Sus scrofa: one gene and its partners. The protein of the gene in region 1 purifies or fractionates together with the protein of each later gene. This does not show direct contact. Links are inferred from orthologs where the notes say so. Each region holds a gene or a part of one and is shown on either strand. Other genes may lie near its edges.

Region 1 (4,420 bases):
AACTAGCTGATAAGTGCTTGAGTTCGAAGTGAGTTTTTCCCTTAGTTCCAAATTCCAGGTTATTCAATTTCTTTGTGGTTTCGTTTCCTGGTTGTAAAATGGTTGATTTTCAGTGTCCTGAGCGGCTGTTCTCAACCCTGTGTTCTTTAAGCAATACCAATTTTTCGCAGCCTGGAAATGTGAACGCCACATTGACACTTCTCGTACTTTTTTTCCTCCTCTTGGGCTAAAGAATTAGGGAGGAAGAAAAGTTACCTATTCCCAGAGGGCCGAGCAGTGCCACAAAGGTGTACTAGAGCCGGCCAACACTCTATCGCACTCTCTTAGGAGACTGAGAGACCAAGCGTCTCATCTTTCTTTCCGCAGCAATAGCTGGGGAAGAACCGAGAGCTAGACAATAGCCGCTTGTTTAGTTTTATTAATTTTGAGGGCGGGTGGGACAAAAGGATCGGATCGACGACGCAAGTGACCAATCGCAAGCGAACCCTAGGCCAGGAGTCGCCAACCGGGAACTGCCAAAGAATGGTGGGTGGGACTTACTCCTCCGGGCCGGCTCCGCCCAAGCCGGCCCTTCCTGCCCGCCCAAGAGGCGGAGGCTCCGCAGAGCCCCGCCCCCGCCACCCTAGCGGCCAGCGCGGCCAGCCGCGGGAGCGGGGCGGGGACGTAGGGTGGCGCGGGGGAGGAAGGGGGTGGCTGGGGGAGCGGAGGAAGAAAGGAGGGTGTCTCGCATAGTTGCGACCTGGGTGGGGGCCTGCTGGTCATAGGAAGCAAGAGGGGAAGGAAAACGGAGGAGCGCTGCTCCTTCCTGCATTATTTTAAGCAAGCTTTGCCTGAAGCTGCTTTTCAGCGTTTCTATTATTTGTTTTTCTTCCTCCCGCTGTGGGGCGGGGAGCTGCACTGGTTCTCCCACGCGACTCCGCTGCGCAGTTGCCGTACACTATTATTGGAGTCTTTGCAAAACCCTTTCCTTCCTCCCAGTCAGTCCTTGTGTAGACTCTCAGGGGTACTGTAACCGAGTCGAGCCGGGTTAGTGGAAGGACCAGAGAGTGCAACCCCGGCTTTCGCCTAGCGGCCGACCCTGGCGTTCAATTGTTTGAAACTTCCCCGCCCCCTGGCTCCGCCTCTCCCCCCCCCAACCCCGTCCAAGCTACTCCCTTCCTTCTTTCCCCGCCCTCTACTCCGCCCCACTCCCTAGTCCACCTCCCCTTCCCCCCCCCTCTCCTGGGCGGTCCTTGCCGCTCACCGCAAGAAGAAAAGCCACCCATTCGTCCCCCTCCCCTACCTCCAATCCTTTGCCCAGGAGCTGCCTTGATCGCAGTCACGCCCCTTCCTTCCGAGGAGATTTCTGGCTGCCCAAGCTGGTAGACCCCCTGATTTATTCCTCCATCTCCGCTCCCTTTCGCCTCATCTTCTCTTAGTTCTCACCGCCTCCTCCACCCCCACCTCCAGTCTGTCTCGCCTCCGACCATCCGCTGCTCCACCCTCCGGCCCGGTATCCTGCTTGTCCACTGCCACCAAGGAGAGCCCGGACCGAGCAGCGAGGAGGGGAGCAGCCGGGAGTTGGGGCTTCCCTCCTGCCCATCCCTGGCCTCCGGCCTGGGACGGAAGCCTCTTGAGCGAGCAGAGTCGTCACCTTGTCTTCGTTGCTTACAGGGGTAGGAGACGCGTGGTTACTTTTCGCGGGGATCTGGGGCAGGAATCCATGGTGGCATGAACTTGATCGTAACCTCAGCATGAGTGAGTCAATCTAGATGCGTGTGGGGATGCCTGTGTGTTCTACTTTCTTTGCAGCTGGCCGCGAGTTTTCCTGGATGTGCAGCAAGTTAAATAGGTTAAAGAGTGTGCGCTCCTTTCCAGTCCCACAAAGATGCTAACGGGTACCACCACTCGATGGTACTTTTACTCTCTTGCTTCCTGGGGTCCTTGTAGGTCTCTAGGTAATTAAGCACAAAAGGAATTAAAGACCAGAGGGAACTTGAGGTCTAGTAGGATTTAACTCATCAGGAATGTCCAGGCTTATCTCAGATTGTTAGATGCTTACTCCTAAATGCTTGGGGTTGAGCTGGCGGCTCACACTCCCCTCCCTGGGGGCTGTGAATTCTTGAAGTTAGTCTGAAGTGATCTACAATGCTACACTCTTTTAGGTATATATATATATGTGTTTGTGTGTGTGTGTGTGTGTGTGTGTGTGTGTGTGTGGTGAGGAGGGGGTTGCCACTACAGATGTTAGTAACTAGTTTTATTGGATCTTGCAGGTGCTTGAGGGTCCCAAGCCTGGGTCACTATATGATGGTTCTTCAACAGCAAGATGGGCTTATCAGTGTATGAAAATGAAAAGAAGGCAAAAAGTGAGAGGGAAAGTGACAGTCTTTTATAGACTGAGCTTTCCCTGGTAAATTGCCGCTAATAATAATATAATAATAATTTGCAGCAAGGGACTAAATACAATTAAATGAGAGAGGGAAGGGACAGTTTGTGAGAAACAGCATTCCAATCTCTAGCATGCATTTTGGAAAGAATTTTCTGACACCTTGGAGTGTCTAATTTAGTTTTCCTTCCTCCTCCCTCTCCTCCCCCACCCCCATAAAGAGTGGAAGTTGGGAGGCAAATTAAAACTTTTAAAAATATAACCCTCTTCTCCCATTCAGAAAGGAAGATAATTAGTCACCATAATCTTCAATAATGGAGGGCTCAGGGTATTTAAGTCTCCTTGAACTAGGCTTTGTGAAAAGTCCTTTCTCAGGACAGCCTTTGTGAAGCTTTCTCAGTTAGACCTTTCAGCACCCTCATTTAGTAGCTAAGAATAGTTTGAAATACCATTTTGGAAGTGGGATAAATCTTTACCCATCTCCCATCTACCTCCTATTGAGTAAGCATGGCAAACTCATAAGAATGGTGGTGCTTGAAGACCTATTACCAAGAGGTCCTCAACGCATTGCTTATTTGGGAACATATTATTTACTTATATTTTTACCTAATTTCGTTGGTTGATTTTAATGGGGGAAAAGAAAGCAGGAAGGAGTGAAGGAATGCTACAGGGTGACAATTTTAAAGGCTATCATATTTCAGATCGGCTGGGAAGGAAAAGTTGGCCTGACCAAACTAGATTTTATAACTGGCCTGGGACATTTTAATAGCCAGGTGGTTGTAGAGTAGTTGCATCTATTTACAGATGATAACTCAGGTTCCAGCTATTCTGTATGGGTTTATCCGGTGTCATTTGCAGACACTTTCTGGCACTACCTCATACCTCATTTTAAGATACTTCTTTCTTTGGAAAAGTCTGTGGCTCCGTAAAATTGAAAGTGCTTTTTCTTACTTCATAGACAAGATACGAAGTAAACCTCTGACCATACTTATATAGAGAGTAACTTTTACGTGAGAAATTGCGGCTCTGTTTACCTATTTAAAAGATTTTCGAAGGGAATTTTAAAGTTCACATTCAATACTCTTTTGGACTTGGAAATTGAAATCTCATTTCCGGTTTATGAAATAGGATTTATAGACTAATGAACCCTCCCCAAGCATTTTGTGTGGTTGCTTTTTCTGAAGTTTTGTAAAGAACGAATCAGTCTCTTTCTAGAATGCCTTAAGAACAGTCTATTCAGAAAGCAGAGGGATGGATGCTATGACCTTGAGGTCCCATTGAGTGCCAGAATTCTAAGTGGGTACATCTGCTTCTGTGCCTCTCCTAAGAGCCCTCTCCCAGGGCCCGCGCCTTCTTTAAAAGGGTGTCTTTGTAATTAAGCAGCCTCTCTCCCCCATCCCCCTTTCTTCCTTTGATCCAGCTTTTTAAGGCCTTTTTTCCATTTGGAGACAAGAGGAGTTTCTCACACTCTCCTACTCCCCTCTTAAGATTTCTTTTCTTCCCCCCTCCAAAAAAAAGTGCCCCGAAGTTCTCAGGATGGTTAGAAATTGTTTTGTTCTATTGGGGTGGGGGTGTTACCAATGAAGAGGTGTTGAGGATATATTCCCTCTTGAGAAATGTTTGTGACCAGGTAGCCTCCTCCATGGAGACTGAGCATTTGGAATGCATGAGAACAGTCTATTCTTAGGGACTGTCTGGAAGAAATTGTCCTTTGCACCCATTAAGCCCAGCTTAAACCCACTGAAAGGAGTGGAGAGAGGTGTGTGTGGTCGTGGCTGAGCCTTTTAGGATGGTAAATGGGTAAATGTTCCCAAATCTCCTATTACATCACCTCTTTCCCCCATGGATTCAGTGGGTTTGGAGATCTGCTTGACAAGTTAATTAGCTTGGGACTAAACCAATTTGTTTTGAATTGTTCTCCATTGATTTCCTGTCCCCAGGAATTTTTGTTGGTGGTTTACTATGACGTGTTGTCTTTAGTCTTGCTTACTTCTTCGTTCCTTGCTGCCTTTTGTGGACTTTGGTCAAAAATTTAGGGTCCCACCCCCAAGT
Region 2 (3,953 bases), on another chromosome or scaffold:
AGTCATTCATTAAGAGTGGGAGGGGAAAAGGAGCTCTTGACATTACATTTCTTTGCTTCTTATTTTTAATCCCAAAGTAGAACAAATTATCTTCATGTTAAAAACAAAAAACAATGAAAGGCCTTGCCAGAAGTCATTCTAGTCCCTGATGTATCCCAGCTGCCATTTCTAACTAACTTCAAATATCATTATTGAATAATACAAGTCTACTTGCCTTACACCAACTGAAAATGATGGTTTTTCTTTTACTATGCTAAATACGAAGTTGGTGCAAGGAGACAAAAGGGAAAATTACTAAATTTTTCATCTAGACTATTAATGAGTGATAGGAACTAACTTTGGTGTTTTTCCCTTTAAAAATAAAGCTAGCTGAATCCAACTGCAGCAGCTGGGTTGCTGTGGAGGCACAGGTTTGATCCCCAGCCCAGTACAGTGGGTGCAGGACTGGGCATTGCTGGGGCTCAGATTCAATTACTGGCCCAGGAACTTCCACATGTCGCCAGTATGGCTAAAAAAGAAGAAATAGTAGTAGTAGTAATAATAATAAGCCTAGTTGACCATAAAAAGGAACAAAACAGTACCATTTGTAGCAACATGGATAGACCTAGAGATTATCACACAAAGTGAAGTTAGAAAGAGACAAGTACCATATGATATCACTTTTATGTGGAATCTAAAATATGGTACAAATGAACAAATCTACAAAACAGAAACACACTTAGAGAACAGCCTTATGGTTGAGGGATGTGGGGGTGGCTTGGGAGTTTGGGCTTAGCAGATGCAAACCTGTATATATACAATGCATAAACAACACGGTCCTACTGTAGAGCACAAGAAACTACAGTCAATATCCGGTGATAAACCATAACGGAAGAGAATATGAAAAAATATATCTATACACAACTGATCATTTTGGTGTATAGCATAAATTAACACAACACTGTAAATCAACTATATTTCAATAAAATTTAAAAAAGAAGGCTAGTTGAAAACTCAGTGGTCTGATTTTTACGTGTGCCTACAAATCTCTTATAAGTATGTGCAATAGCATACGAAATGGTTTTGAGTCAATGTAATATGAAGATCCATTCACAGAAGCACAAAAAGCAATTACTTCCAGAATGTATGTACCTAAATACAAGTCTATCTTGCATGGATGTTTGGATCACAACTTCATCTAGTGTAGTCTTCCCAAGGTAGTCCCTCCTGCATACAGGATTTTAAGTGCTGCTTATGCATGTTCCGCAAAGCAGCATCATACTTACTGTAAAGGGTTTTGCAGCACCTTGATCATCTCTGCTTGAAATAATCTTTGCATTTTTTCTTGTCTCCCTCAAACGCTCTATTGATGGTGGTTTTATAAATATCACATAGGGCTTAAATTCTAGTGTCCTTAAGTGCTTTACTGTCTGCAAGGAAGAAAATAAATTTTGTCATAGTTCTACATAATTCAGGAGTGAATTTTTTTTTTTTTTTTTTTTTTTTTTTTTTGTCTTTTTGCCTTTTTCTTGAGCCGCTCCCATGGCATATGGAGGTTCCCAGGCTAGGGGTTGAATCAGAGCTGTAGCCACCAGCCTACACCAGAGCCACAGCAACTCGGGATCCGAGCCGTGTCTGCAACCCACACTGCAGGTCACGGAAATACTAGATCCTTAACCCACTAAGCAAGGAAGGGCAGGGATTGAACCTGCAACCTCATGGTTCCTAGTCGGATTCATTAACCACTGCGCCGCGACGGGAACTCCAGGAGTGAACTTTTATAATAAAACTGAATTTTCCTTGTAGGGAGAAAATTCGTTAACATTATTTCCTAATGAAAATTAGTAGGTCTTTCAATATATTATCATTCAATTCAATTCATATCAGTTGTTGACAATTAAATGTAATAAACCCCTCTGAAAAGATGGAGAATACAGCTTGCCTTTAAAAATGCTTTGACATATGCCATAATTAATACTGAACAGAAGCAGCTAAAAATAACATGAAACTTGGTTTTATATCTAATACCCAAAAGATGCTATGAGTTAAGTAACTTTCTTTCCATGGAAGTCTCCCAACTGTCCCATTTCAGCCTCTTCCTAATCTCAGCTGAGGTCTCCCCTTTTCTTTCATTCTACCCTTTAGGGGCCCCTTAAAGGGCAAGCTTCCTGCTTTTCACGAAGGACCTCAACACGCCCTGTGGGTAACCAGGAAAATGCTGTGGGCTGGGTTTCTACTGGGGGACCAGGAAATGGATCGTTTCATCCACTGGCACTACATCCAATGTCTGTGAGTTCCCAGGGGGCTGCCAGCTCTACCCAACAGCTGCGCTAAGATGTCACACGGGACAGTTCCTGGGAGATGCCTGGGCTCTTGCCAAGGGTTGCTCTTCTAGGATAGTTACAGAACCAAAATCAGTGAAACAGAACCAAGAGCCCAAATGTCCACTGTTAAACACCGAGGAGTTCCCATGGTGGCTCAGCAGGTTAAGAACCCAACTAGGATCTGTGAGGGTGCGGGGGTGATCCCTGGCCTCACTCTGGGTAAGATCCAGTGTTGCTGCAGGCTGTGGTGTAGGTTGCAGGTGCAGCTTGGATCTGGGGTTGCTGGGGTTGTGGCGTGGGCTGGCAGCTGCAGCTCCGATTGGACCACTTCGCCCAGGAACTTCCATTCAGTGCAGATGCACCAAGGAACTCTGAGAATAATGCATACCGACGAATACATTATACACATATTTTTTAAATACAAAATACATGGAAGAAATATCTAAGAGTCACTATACTTGGCAAACATCGAATCTAAACAAGACCTACAAATAAAAATCTCAAGGCTTCCCTGACCCCTCTTTCTAATAATAATAGTCTTTTTTTTTTTTTTCTTTTCAGCAGACTTCCTAAATTACATCTAAATGCTTTTGTTGCCTTAGGAAAGTCTAAAGTGAGTAGATTTCAGATTTACCCCATACTGAACGGCTCAAATGTGGGCCCAGAAGGGTGTTGAATAGTTCATTGTTCACTTACGTGAGGCTGAACATCCAGCAAGCAAACTTTGTTCTTAGCTAGGACAGACCGAACCGAGTCTATACTTGTGCCATAATAATTGTTTTTATATTCGCCATATTCAATAAACCTGTAGAAAATCAGAATCATTTGTAAATTTTATATACATATATATGTGTATATATATGTATGGCAAGGCATAATGCATATACATGAAGTATGTTTTTTGAACATCTAATTTTTAACTGCTTTAAACAAAATAAATCAGTCCAAGTACTCCAGAATGTCAATTTCAAAAAAAAAAACCTTCTATTTTACATTTTCAAATCAGTAACACTTGCTTGTATTACACTTAAGCAGAAAAAAGTACTTTAGTCCAGCAGTACTCTAATGTCTTCCATCACCTCTTTTTCAGAATGCCGTGCAATAAAACAGTGAATAAGCTGAACAATAGAAACTACTGAAATTTCACTGCACATGAAAAAATAACCAAGCTCAGCTTTAGAACTCGAGGAGTTGGTTGGTGGCTAATGGAACCAGAGCAGCAGATTACGTGCTATAAAAACACAATCGCTGCACCAAATGCAAAAAAAAAGGCATTTTGATGTTTCAATAAAATCCCACAATCCTGCATTAAAACACATATTGCTCCCTGATACCCTGTAATAGTCATGCTTAAGCAAATGGAAAACCTGGGGAAAGGAGACTTTAGGGCTAGCTAAAGGATATGGTACAAGCATAATGATGAACATTATTTCAATTTTTGAAGAGCCAATAGGGGAGGAGTGTGGAAAAGACGGGAATTGGGGATCAGTGGTTAGTTTTTAAAATAAAGTTCTATCCAAATTCTATGTTATGATCCAACTAGTAGGGTAGAAAGGTGTCACACTAGTATACCAGCAACCTTCCCTCATTCTTCAAAATAATCCCTAGGCATTCAATTTAGCAGAAACAGTGGCTCTAGGTTATTAAAAA
Region 3 (3,953 bases), on another chromosome or scaffold:
TACATTATGTGAAAATTATCCTAGAAACTATATAGAGATTTTTTTTTTTTTTTTTGGCTGTGCCTATGGCACATGGAAGTTCCCAGGCCAGGGATCAAACCCATGCCACCTGAGCCACCACAGTGACCCGAGCCACAGCAGTGATAATACCAGATCCTTAACATGCTGAGCCACCAGGAGACTCCCATATAGAGATATTAACAGTTATTTTTAAGTGCTCTGAAAATATTTTATTCTGAAGTCTAATAACAAAGAAAACAGCTTTTGAGAACCTATCAATTATTCTTCTACCCACGTCAGCTTACCAGTAAGTCAAAAACCTCATTGACGTCTTTCCCCCGAATTTCAATGCCATTAATCTCTAGAACTTCATCTCCTTCATGCAACAGGCCACTTTTCTCTGCAGCACCTCCTTTAACTATCCGACTAATGATGACAGAATCCATTTCATTACGAACTGTAGCACCCTAAAAAATTCAATATCCAATTTTAAAATAAAAATGCGATGTTTTGGTTAAACATTTCCTCATTTTAAAATTCTTATTTTTTTCAATTCAACAATACTAGCCTTCAGTTATCATGAGAAAAAAAATTATTTTTTACTGTTAAAAGTTTTATTGAAGTATAGTTGATTACAATGTTGTGATAATTTCTGCTGTACAACAAAGTAGATTCAGTTATACATGTAAACACCTCTATTCTCTTTCAGGTTCTTCTCCCACATAGTTTATCACAGAATACTACGTAGAGTTTTCTGTGCTACACAGCAGGTCTCTGTTAGCCAATCATTCCATATACCTCAGTGTGCATATGCCAAGCAAGAAAAAATTTATTTACACAGCTAAAGTAGTTACAGCAATTGAAAGCTGATTGTTTCCCCCACATTTTCTGCTTCAGAAGTGTTCTACTCATTAAAATTCTAAAATCAGGCTTTTCAAGCATACAACAGTATAAAAATGCACTTGCTCAAAAACAATGTGAAAGCCTATAATCAAATTTGTTCTCTATATGCTGGATGCTATTCCAATGGTTATATAATTAGTTAACATGACTTGTAAGTCTTTTTAAATTCAATATATGATGAAGCGATGAATACTGGTTAATTATCAAAATGTTAAATATTATAGCTGTCTCCAATTCACATTAAAATGTATTAGGAGTTCCCGTCGTGGCGCAGTGATTAACGAATCCGACTAGGAACCATGAGGTTGCGGGTTTGGTCCCTGCCCTTGCTCAGTGGGTTAACGATCCGGCGTTGCCGTGAGCTGTGGGGTAGGTCGCAGACGCGGCTCGGATCCTGCGTTGCTGTGGCTCTGGGGTAGGCCAGTGGCTACAGCTCCGATTGGACCCCTAGCCTGGGAACCTCCATATGCCGCGGGAGCGGCCCAAGAAATAGCAAAAAGACAAAAAAAAAAAAAAAAAAAAGTATTAAACATTAACATTTATTACACAAGTTGGAAGTAAAATTGAAATTTACACCCTCAAAAAATGGAAATATGAAATACAGAATAAAGCTTGAAAGTAGTTTCTAACACTTTTTTCCTAAATTTTATTTTAAAATTTTGTCATAATTTCCCCAATTTCTTTCTTCTCGTGGGGAAAAAAACCTAGTTACATAAACTGCCCTTTAATAGAATACAGTCCCTATTTCATGTACCACAAGACAATTTGAGACCTTAGGATTCAAGAATATTTTTCTGAAAATAAAAGAAAAGGCAATGATAGTAGACTAAGAGAAAAAAAGTTTTATATACAAAAAATATAAAATATTAACATTAGACAAAGCATACTAAATCTATGTGAAGTATGTAAGTAATTGCACTGAATGAAAAGATCAGAATCTCCAACTGTTGTCTTTTGTTTTTTAAGCTGAGAGAATAATGAAGCAGATTATCTGCGCTTTCTTTGTTCAACAATCACTGCACAAGCTATTATTTGCATCAAATTATGGGTGAGAAAAGATGAACAAATTTTTCTCAGCTGAATAAGGAGTTTGAGCAAGAACACAAAAGAATTCCAACAAATTAGCCTCAAAAGGAAAAAACTACCAGAAATGTCAAGGGTCTTCAATATCTGACATACACCAAGATCCTTGTGTAGACCCGTGGAAAGGATCTCATATCAGAGATGTGGAACACTTACCAACGGAATATCTCGAGCCTTTTCTATACGAACTATTTTTACAGTTTCTCCTCCATACTGGCCAATGCTTTCATAAACTCTCTCATCTGCAATGGGCTCTAGCTGCATTTCCTGCTCAGCAACCTTATCATGGGCCAGTAAAAGTGCCTGTTTCAAAGAAACCCACAGCATTTAAAGTAACAGCATGATTTCTGTACAAAATTTCAAACTAATCATGTAATAGTATCCTGCTCATCAAACCTTTAAAAGAAGTGCTAATTATATATTCAGATCTGTTCCCAAACTTTCCAAGTCAAGTACAACCCTGTATCTTTTATGGCTAATAATAACTAAAGATGTGTTAAGTACAATAGGGAATACTTTGAGATAAGTTACGAAAATCTAAAATGATTATTAAACTTCATAAAAACAAAATCACCTTGGGGTCCAACATCAGAGATAAAATTTATGGACAATATAACCAAAAAAGGGAGGAATTTGTAAAGAATAAAAAGTTGTTTCAAAAATTATGTGGTTAATTTTAAATTTGAAAAAAACATAATCCAACAATAATTATTATGTGATGGGAGTTGAAGACAAAACAGGCTACTTAATATCTGAGGTCTCTTTCAGCCCAAGAGACTTTGATTTGAACTGAGTTTAAAATGCTGGAAAAACTACATATATAATTCTTTGTCCATTGTCTACCTGAATATGCGGTGCATTCAGCAAAGCAGTTAATTCTTGTCCTTCCTTCTGGTGGACTGGCTTCAAAACAGTTTGTACCTAAGGAACAAAGATGATTCTTCCTAGGTTAAGAGAAATTATCACCAGCATCTACATAGGTTTTTTTTGTTTGTTTTTTTTTTAAGGTACAATTTAAAATCCTAAAAACTACTTGTAAGAAAGAAAAACACTAAAGAGAATTATAATTTTTTAAAAAAAGGTTGGGTTTTTTTTTTTTTTGGCTTTTTAGGGCCACACTTGAGGCATATGGAGGTTCCCAGGCAAGGGATCTAATTGAAGGTACAGCTGCTGGCCTACACCACAGCCACACCAGATCTGAGCCGCATCTGCAACCTACACCACAGCTCACAGCAACGCTGCATTCTTAACCATGGAGCGAGGCTAGGGATTGAACCTGAAACCTCATGGTTCCTAGTCAGATTCGTTTCTGCTACGCCACAATGGGAACTCCTAAAAAATGTATTTCTTTCTCACAGTTTTCAATCTTGTTACCATGGTTGACAATAGCATTCTTTATTTATTCCTATGAATGAGGTATTTCCTTCTTGATGATTTCTGCAAACATACTACAAAACAGACTAACAATGATTACATAAGGGAAAGACTGTTCTAATGGTTATGTTGCTATTTTATAGTTTTTAAATCATATTTATGTAACTATATTTTAAATCAGAGGTAACATTTTAAAGAGTTACAGACCAACAAGATAAATTTATATCAGAGTAATGAACAGCCACCATACTATAGTGCATCAAATTAAAACATTTCCTGAAGTCAAGCAATTCTTGCATTCCTAGGATAAACTCCACTTGATTATAATGAATTTTTTTTAAGCCCATGCTTCTTCACCTATAGAATGGTTCTTTCTCACCTGCCACAGAAGGTTCTTAAGACTGACATAATCCACATAAACTGCTTAGCACACTATATAACACAGTAAACTATTACTTTAACATATTTCTAGATGTGAGTTATTCATATTTTAAGATTTCTATATTAATGTTCATAAATTGGACTGGACTCTACTTGGTTAAGTAGAGTCATATACACTGGTTTACATAACTACTGTCTCTTTAATATCTAGG
Region 4 (3,953 bases), on another chromosome or scaffold:
GGGAGCTCCGGTGAGAGCCATTCTTCTTTTTTTTGCTTTTTAGGGTTGCACCTGCAATAGAATATGGAAGTTCCCAGGCGAGAGGTCAAATCGGAGCTACAGCTGCCGGCCTATACCATAGCCACAGCAATGCCAGATCCGAGCTGCACCTGTGACCCGCACCATAGCTAAGCAACACCGGATCCTTAACCCACTGATTGAGGCCAGGGATGGACCCGAATCCTCATGGATACTAGTTGGGTTCAAAACCTGCTGAGCCACAACGGGAACTTCTGAGAGCCATTCTCGCAAAATAATTTTTCTAAATCTGATTTCACAGTGTAGTTATTCCTGCTATAAGTTGAATTTTGTTAGATGAGAAATACCATGATTACCTATATAACTGATCCGCATTTTAGCTCTTAGGATTTCTTACTAAGGTCTTGTCTGTATGTATTTTCTTAGTTTATTTTTCCTTTTTCCTCTTCACTTTCACTAATAGCTGATTTATACTTTTATGGTGTTGGAAGCTTTGCTGACTTCTGTAGCCTCCATTACTGTGTAGGCAAGTAAGATTTTAAGAGAAACAGTTCTATACTAAGTCTGGCATGCCACCTTTCTTAAAAGATTTTGCATGCAAATGTGCATCCTAACAGAAGCATGAGGTTGCTATATTTTAATTAGTTTTGCATTTCTAGAATTATACTCTACCTTTCAAATCAAATTCTTTTTCTATTTAAATCCTTAAATTATTTATTAACTAGTCAAAAATAAACCGTTCCTTCCATCTAAATTTAGGTATTCCATATGTACTTAGAATTTGGTTTTTTGTTAATCTTCATAAGTCACACTGACTATTCTTTGAAGTGTTGCAGAATATCTAACAGATACCTTGTAATCAAACAAGTTGTCCCTTTTAACTAAGACATGACATACCCTTTGCATTTTGCGTTAGTGGTGGCTGTGAGTCCTACCCTTATTACCCCGATGCCCTGAGAGTTACAAAAGGAAAGACTGACTATTTAATGAGGGTTTAGGTTAGAGAAGACATTTCTTTTGTTCTTAATACATCAGTATTTTAGAATAAATGAGCCTGGAGTGGAAGAATTTCTTTTCATGAAGGATAAAATTAATTCATTTACTATTCATTCCAAGATAAGGACAATTTATACTCTGTAAGGGACTGTGTACTCCTAGGCATTCCACAAAGAGAAGCATATGATGAAGGCAATCTAATTATGTAGTTTGGGTTGAATATGCATGGAGAGAGAGATGAGGGTGCATGTTAACATGTTTGGTTATTGCACTGGGAGCATTTTTTTGAGTGCATTAGAGAGGAGTAGAAAGCTGACCATTGATGTCTTCTTGCTGTCCACAGCAGACTGCATATATAACTCACTTTGTATATCCTGTTAACTATCTCTTAGGCTGCACTTTTGATAATTTTCTCTGAAATATATTCTAGATTTCTAACATGCTTTATTAAAAATTATTATGCATTTAACCTTTAAATATATGCCTGAATTTTTTCCAAGCGATTTCTTAATACTCAGTATAGAAGATAATTCCTCATTTAATATTTAGTTTATTTGCCTAGGTTGGATTATCTCAAGATGCCCAAGATCAAATGAGAAAGATGCTTTGCCAAAAAGAGTCTAATTACATCCGTCTTAAAAGGGCTAAAATGGACAAGTCTATGTTTGTGAAGATAAAGACATTAGGAATAGGAGCATTTGGTGAAGTCTGTCTAGCAAGAAAAGTAGATACTAAGGCTTTGTATGCAACAAAAACTCTTCGAAAGAAAGATGTTCTGCTTCGAAATCAAGTTGCTCATGTTAAAGCTGAGAGAGATATCCTGGCCGAAGCTGACAACGAATGGGTAGTTCGTCTTTACTATTCATTCCAAGATAAGGACAATTTATACTTTGTAATGGACTATATTCCTGGGGGTGATATGATGAGCCTATTAATTAGAATGGGCATCTTTCCAGAAAATCTGGCACGGTTCTACATAGCAGAACTTACCTGTGCAGTTGAAAGTGTTCATAAAATGGGTTTTATTCATAGAGATATTAAACCTGATAACATTTTGATTGATCGTGATGGTCACATTAAATTGACTGACTTCGGCCTCTGCACTGGCTTCAGATGGACACATGATTCTAAGTACTATCAGAGTGGTGAGTAAAATCATAAAATTTGTACATATTTATACAGTTTATTAATGCAGCAACATATAAAATGGTATTATCACTGGATAGAAGCCAGAAGTCTTGGGTCAGGTCTCAACTCTGTTGGATAAATGTGGGTGAATCCCTTAGACACTTAAGACTTACAAAATGAATGTTAGGATTAATTATATCTAAATATCATTAGCATTTTTGTTAACCCCTTTACATTTTGTTAATTTGAAATGTTAACATTCAAATTTTAACAATATTTTGAAAATAATTTTTATTTATTTATTTATTTATTTTTACCTTTTTAGGGCTGCACCTGCGGCATATGGAGGTTCACAGGCTAGAGGTCGAATTGGAGCTGTAGCTTCTAGCCTACCCCAGAGCCACAGCAACACCAGATCTAAGCCGCGTCTGTGACCTACACCACAGCTCATGGCTACACCAGATCCTTAACCCACTGAGCAAGGCCAGTTATCAAACCCACAACCTCATGGTTCCTGTCGGATTTGTTTCTGCTGCACCAGGACGGGAACTCCTGAAAGTAATTTTTATTTTATTTATTTATTTATTTGTTTGTTTGTTTTATCTTTTCTAGGGCTGCTTCCCGCGGCATATGGAGGTTGCCAGGGTAGGGATCTAATCGGAGCTGTAGCCTCTGGCCGATGCCAGAGCCACAGCAAAGCTGGATCCGAGCCGCGTCTGCGACCTACACCACGGCTCACAGCAACGCTAGATCCTTGACCCACTGAGCAAAGCCAGAAGTCGAACCCGAAACCTCATGGTTCCTAGTAGGATTTGTTAACCACTGTGCCACGACAGGAACTCCTGAAAGTAATTTTTAAACGAAGCTCCATACCCATCATTCAGCTGAAGATCTAGATTATTAGTACTTTTGAAGACCCTGAAAAATCATTTTCTTCTACAGAGGTAACCTTTATTTCAGGGCTTTATAATCACTTCTTTTCTCTATACTTTCACCACATATGTATATACATCCCTAAACAATGTATTTCATGTTGCCTACTCTTCAAGCTTTATTTAAGTGTAATCATTCCATATGTATTCATCTATGTTGACTTCTTTTATTTGAGAGTCCTCTGTGTTCCTGCATGTAGCATTTATTTTCATAGCTATTTAGGATTCCATTGTATGATTTACACAACTTGCTTAACTTTAACATTTTATGTACATGATTGTGGTTAATCCTCACAACGTCACTGTAAGGCAGAATGAAGAAACTGAGGCTTAGAATAAGAAACTTGCCCACAGTCAGAAAATAAGTATAAGGGCTAGGCTTTGAACCCAGGTTTGTCTGATGATAGGGCCCACGTTATTTCTACTATATCACGTTGCCTCACAAGATCCCTCCAAGCACTAATGGAAGTCCATCTAACATTTGCTGAATGCTCACTATGACTAGGTGCTTTACATATAGGCTAATTTAATGCTCACAGAAGTCCTCTGAGGTAAATATTATTGACCTCCTGTGTTTCTGCAAACGCAAGTGGATTGAACTGCTTAGTAGTTCTAAGTAAAAAGAACTGACGTTCCTGAACCTACTGTAATGTTCAGTTTAACATAATTTAATCTCTCCCTAGAGTCACCTGAATTACTTTGAGTTCATCTTAAAAATATGATTCTCAGGCTCTATTTCAGTCTTCTGCTTGAAAATCTTCACTGGAGTGTAGAAATTGTATTTTTACCAAACATCCCAGATGATTATTACAATTAGGTTAATTTCAGATATTCTTCTCCTAGGTGATTTCATCTGGTTATGGCTTTAATTACTGTTGT

What was found.
Region 2: the proteins of AMOT (region 1) and MPP7 purify together in Homo sapiens (affinity purification with mass spectrometry; 3 studies listed by BioGRID and IntAct, with this or other methods). This does not show direct contact. The link is inferred for Sus scrofa from reciprocal best matches to the Homo sapiens genes AMOT and MPP7.
Region 3: the proteins of AMOT (region 1) and MPP5 purify together in Homo sapiens (affinity purification with mass spectrometry; 6 studies listed by BioGRID and IntAct, counting the BioPlex papers as one, with this or other methods). This does not show direct contact. The link is inferred for Sus scrofa from reciprocal best matches to the Homo sapiens genes AMOT and PALS1.
Region 4: the proteins of AMOT (region 1) and LATS1 purify together in Homo sapiens (affinity purification with western blotting; 3 studies listed by BioGRID and IntAct, with this or other methods). This does not show direct contact. The link is inferred for Sus scrofa from reciprocal best matches to the Homo sapiens genes AMOT and LATS1.

Annotation. Positions count from the first base shown.
Region 1 is NC_010461.5:92,644,665-92,649,084, reverse strand, and holds the start of AMOT (angiomotin), read left to right. Parts: upstream 1-1,222; 5' UTR 1,223-1,655; intron 1,656-1,718; exon of another isoform or gene 1,719-1,737; intron 1,738-2,688; exon of another isoform or gene 2,689-4,420.
Region 2 is NC_010452.4:39,536,187-39,540,139, forward strand, and holds part of MPP7 (MAGUK p55 subfamily member 7), read right to left. Parts: exon of another isoform or gene 3,394-3,953; intron 3,109-3,393; coding exon 3,000-3,108; intron 2,917-2,999; exon of another isoform or gene 2,865-2,916; intron 2,269-2,864; exon of another isoform or gene 2,125-2,268; intron 1,410-2,124; coding exon 1,266-1,409; intron 1-1,265. UniProt on the Homo sapiens protein: Acts as an important adapter that promotes epithelial cell polarity and tight junction formation via its interaction with DLG1. Involved in the assembly of protein complexes at sites of cell-cell contact.
Region 3 is NC_010449.5:91,010,771-91,014,723, reverse strand, and holds part of MPP5 (MAGUK p55 subfamily member 5), read right to left. Parts: intron 2,908-3,953; coding exon 2,830-2,907; intron 2,290-2,829; coding exon 2,143-2,289; intron 468-2,142; coding exon 306-467; intron 1-305. UniProt on the Homo sapiens protein: Plays a role in tight junction biogenesis and in the establishment of cell polarity in epithelial cells.
Region 4 is NC_010443.5:16,302,149-16,306,101, forward strand, and holds part of LATS1 (serine/threonine-protein kinase LATS1), read left to right. Parts: intron 1-1,576; coding exon 1,577-2,159; intron 2,160-3,953. UniProt on the Homo sapiens protein: Negative regulator of YAP1 in the Hippo signaling pathway that plays a pivotal role in organ size control and tumor suppression by restricting proliferation and promoting apoptosis.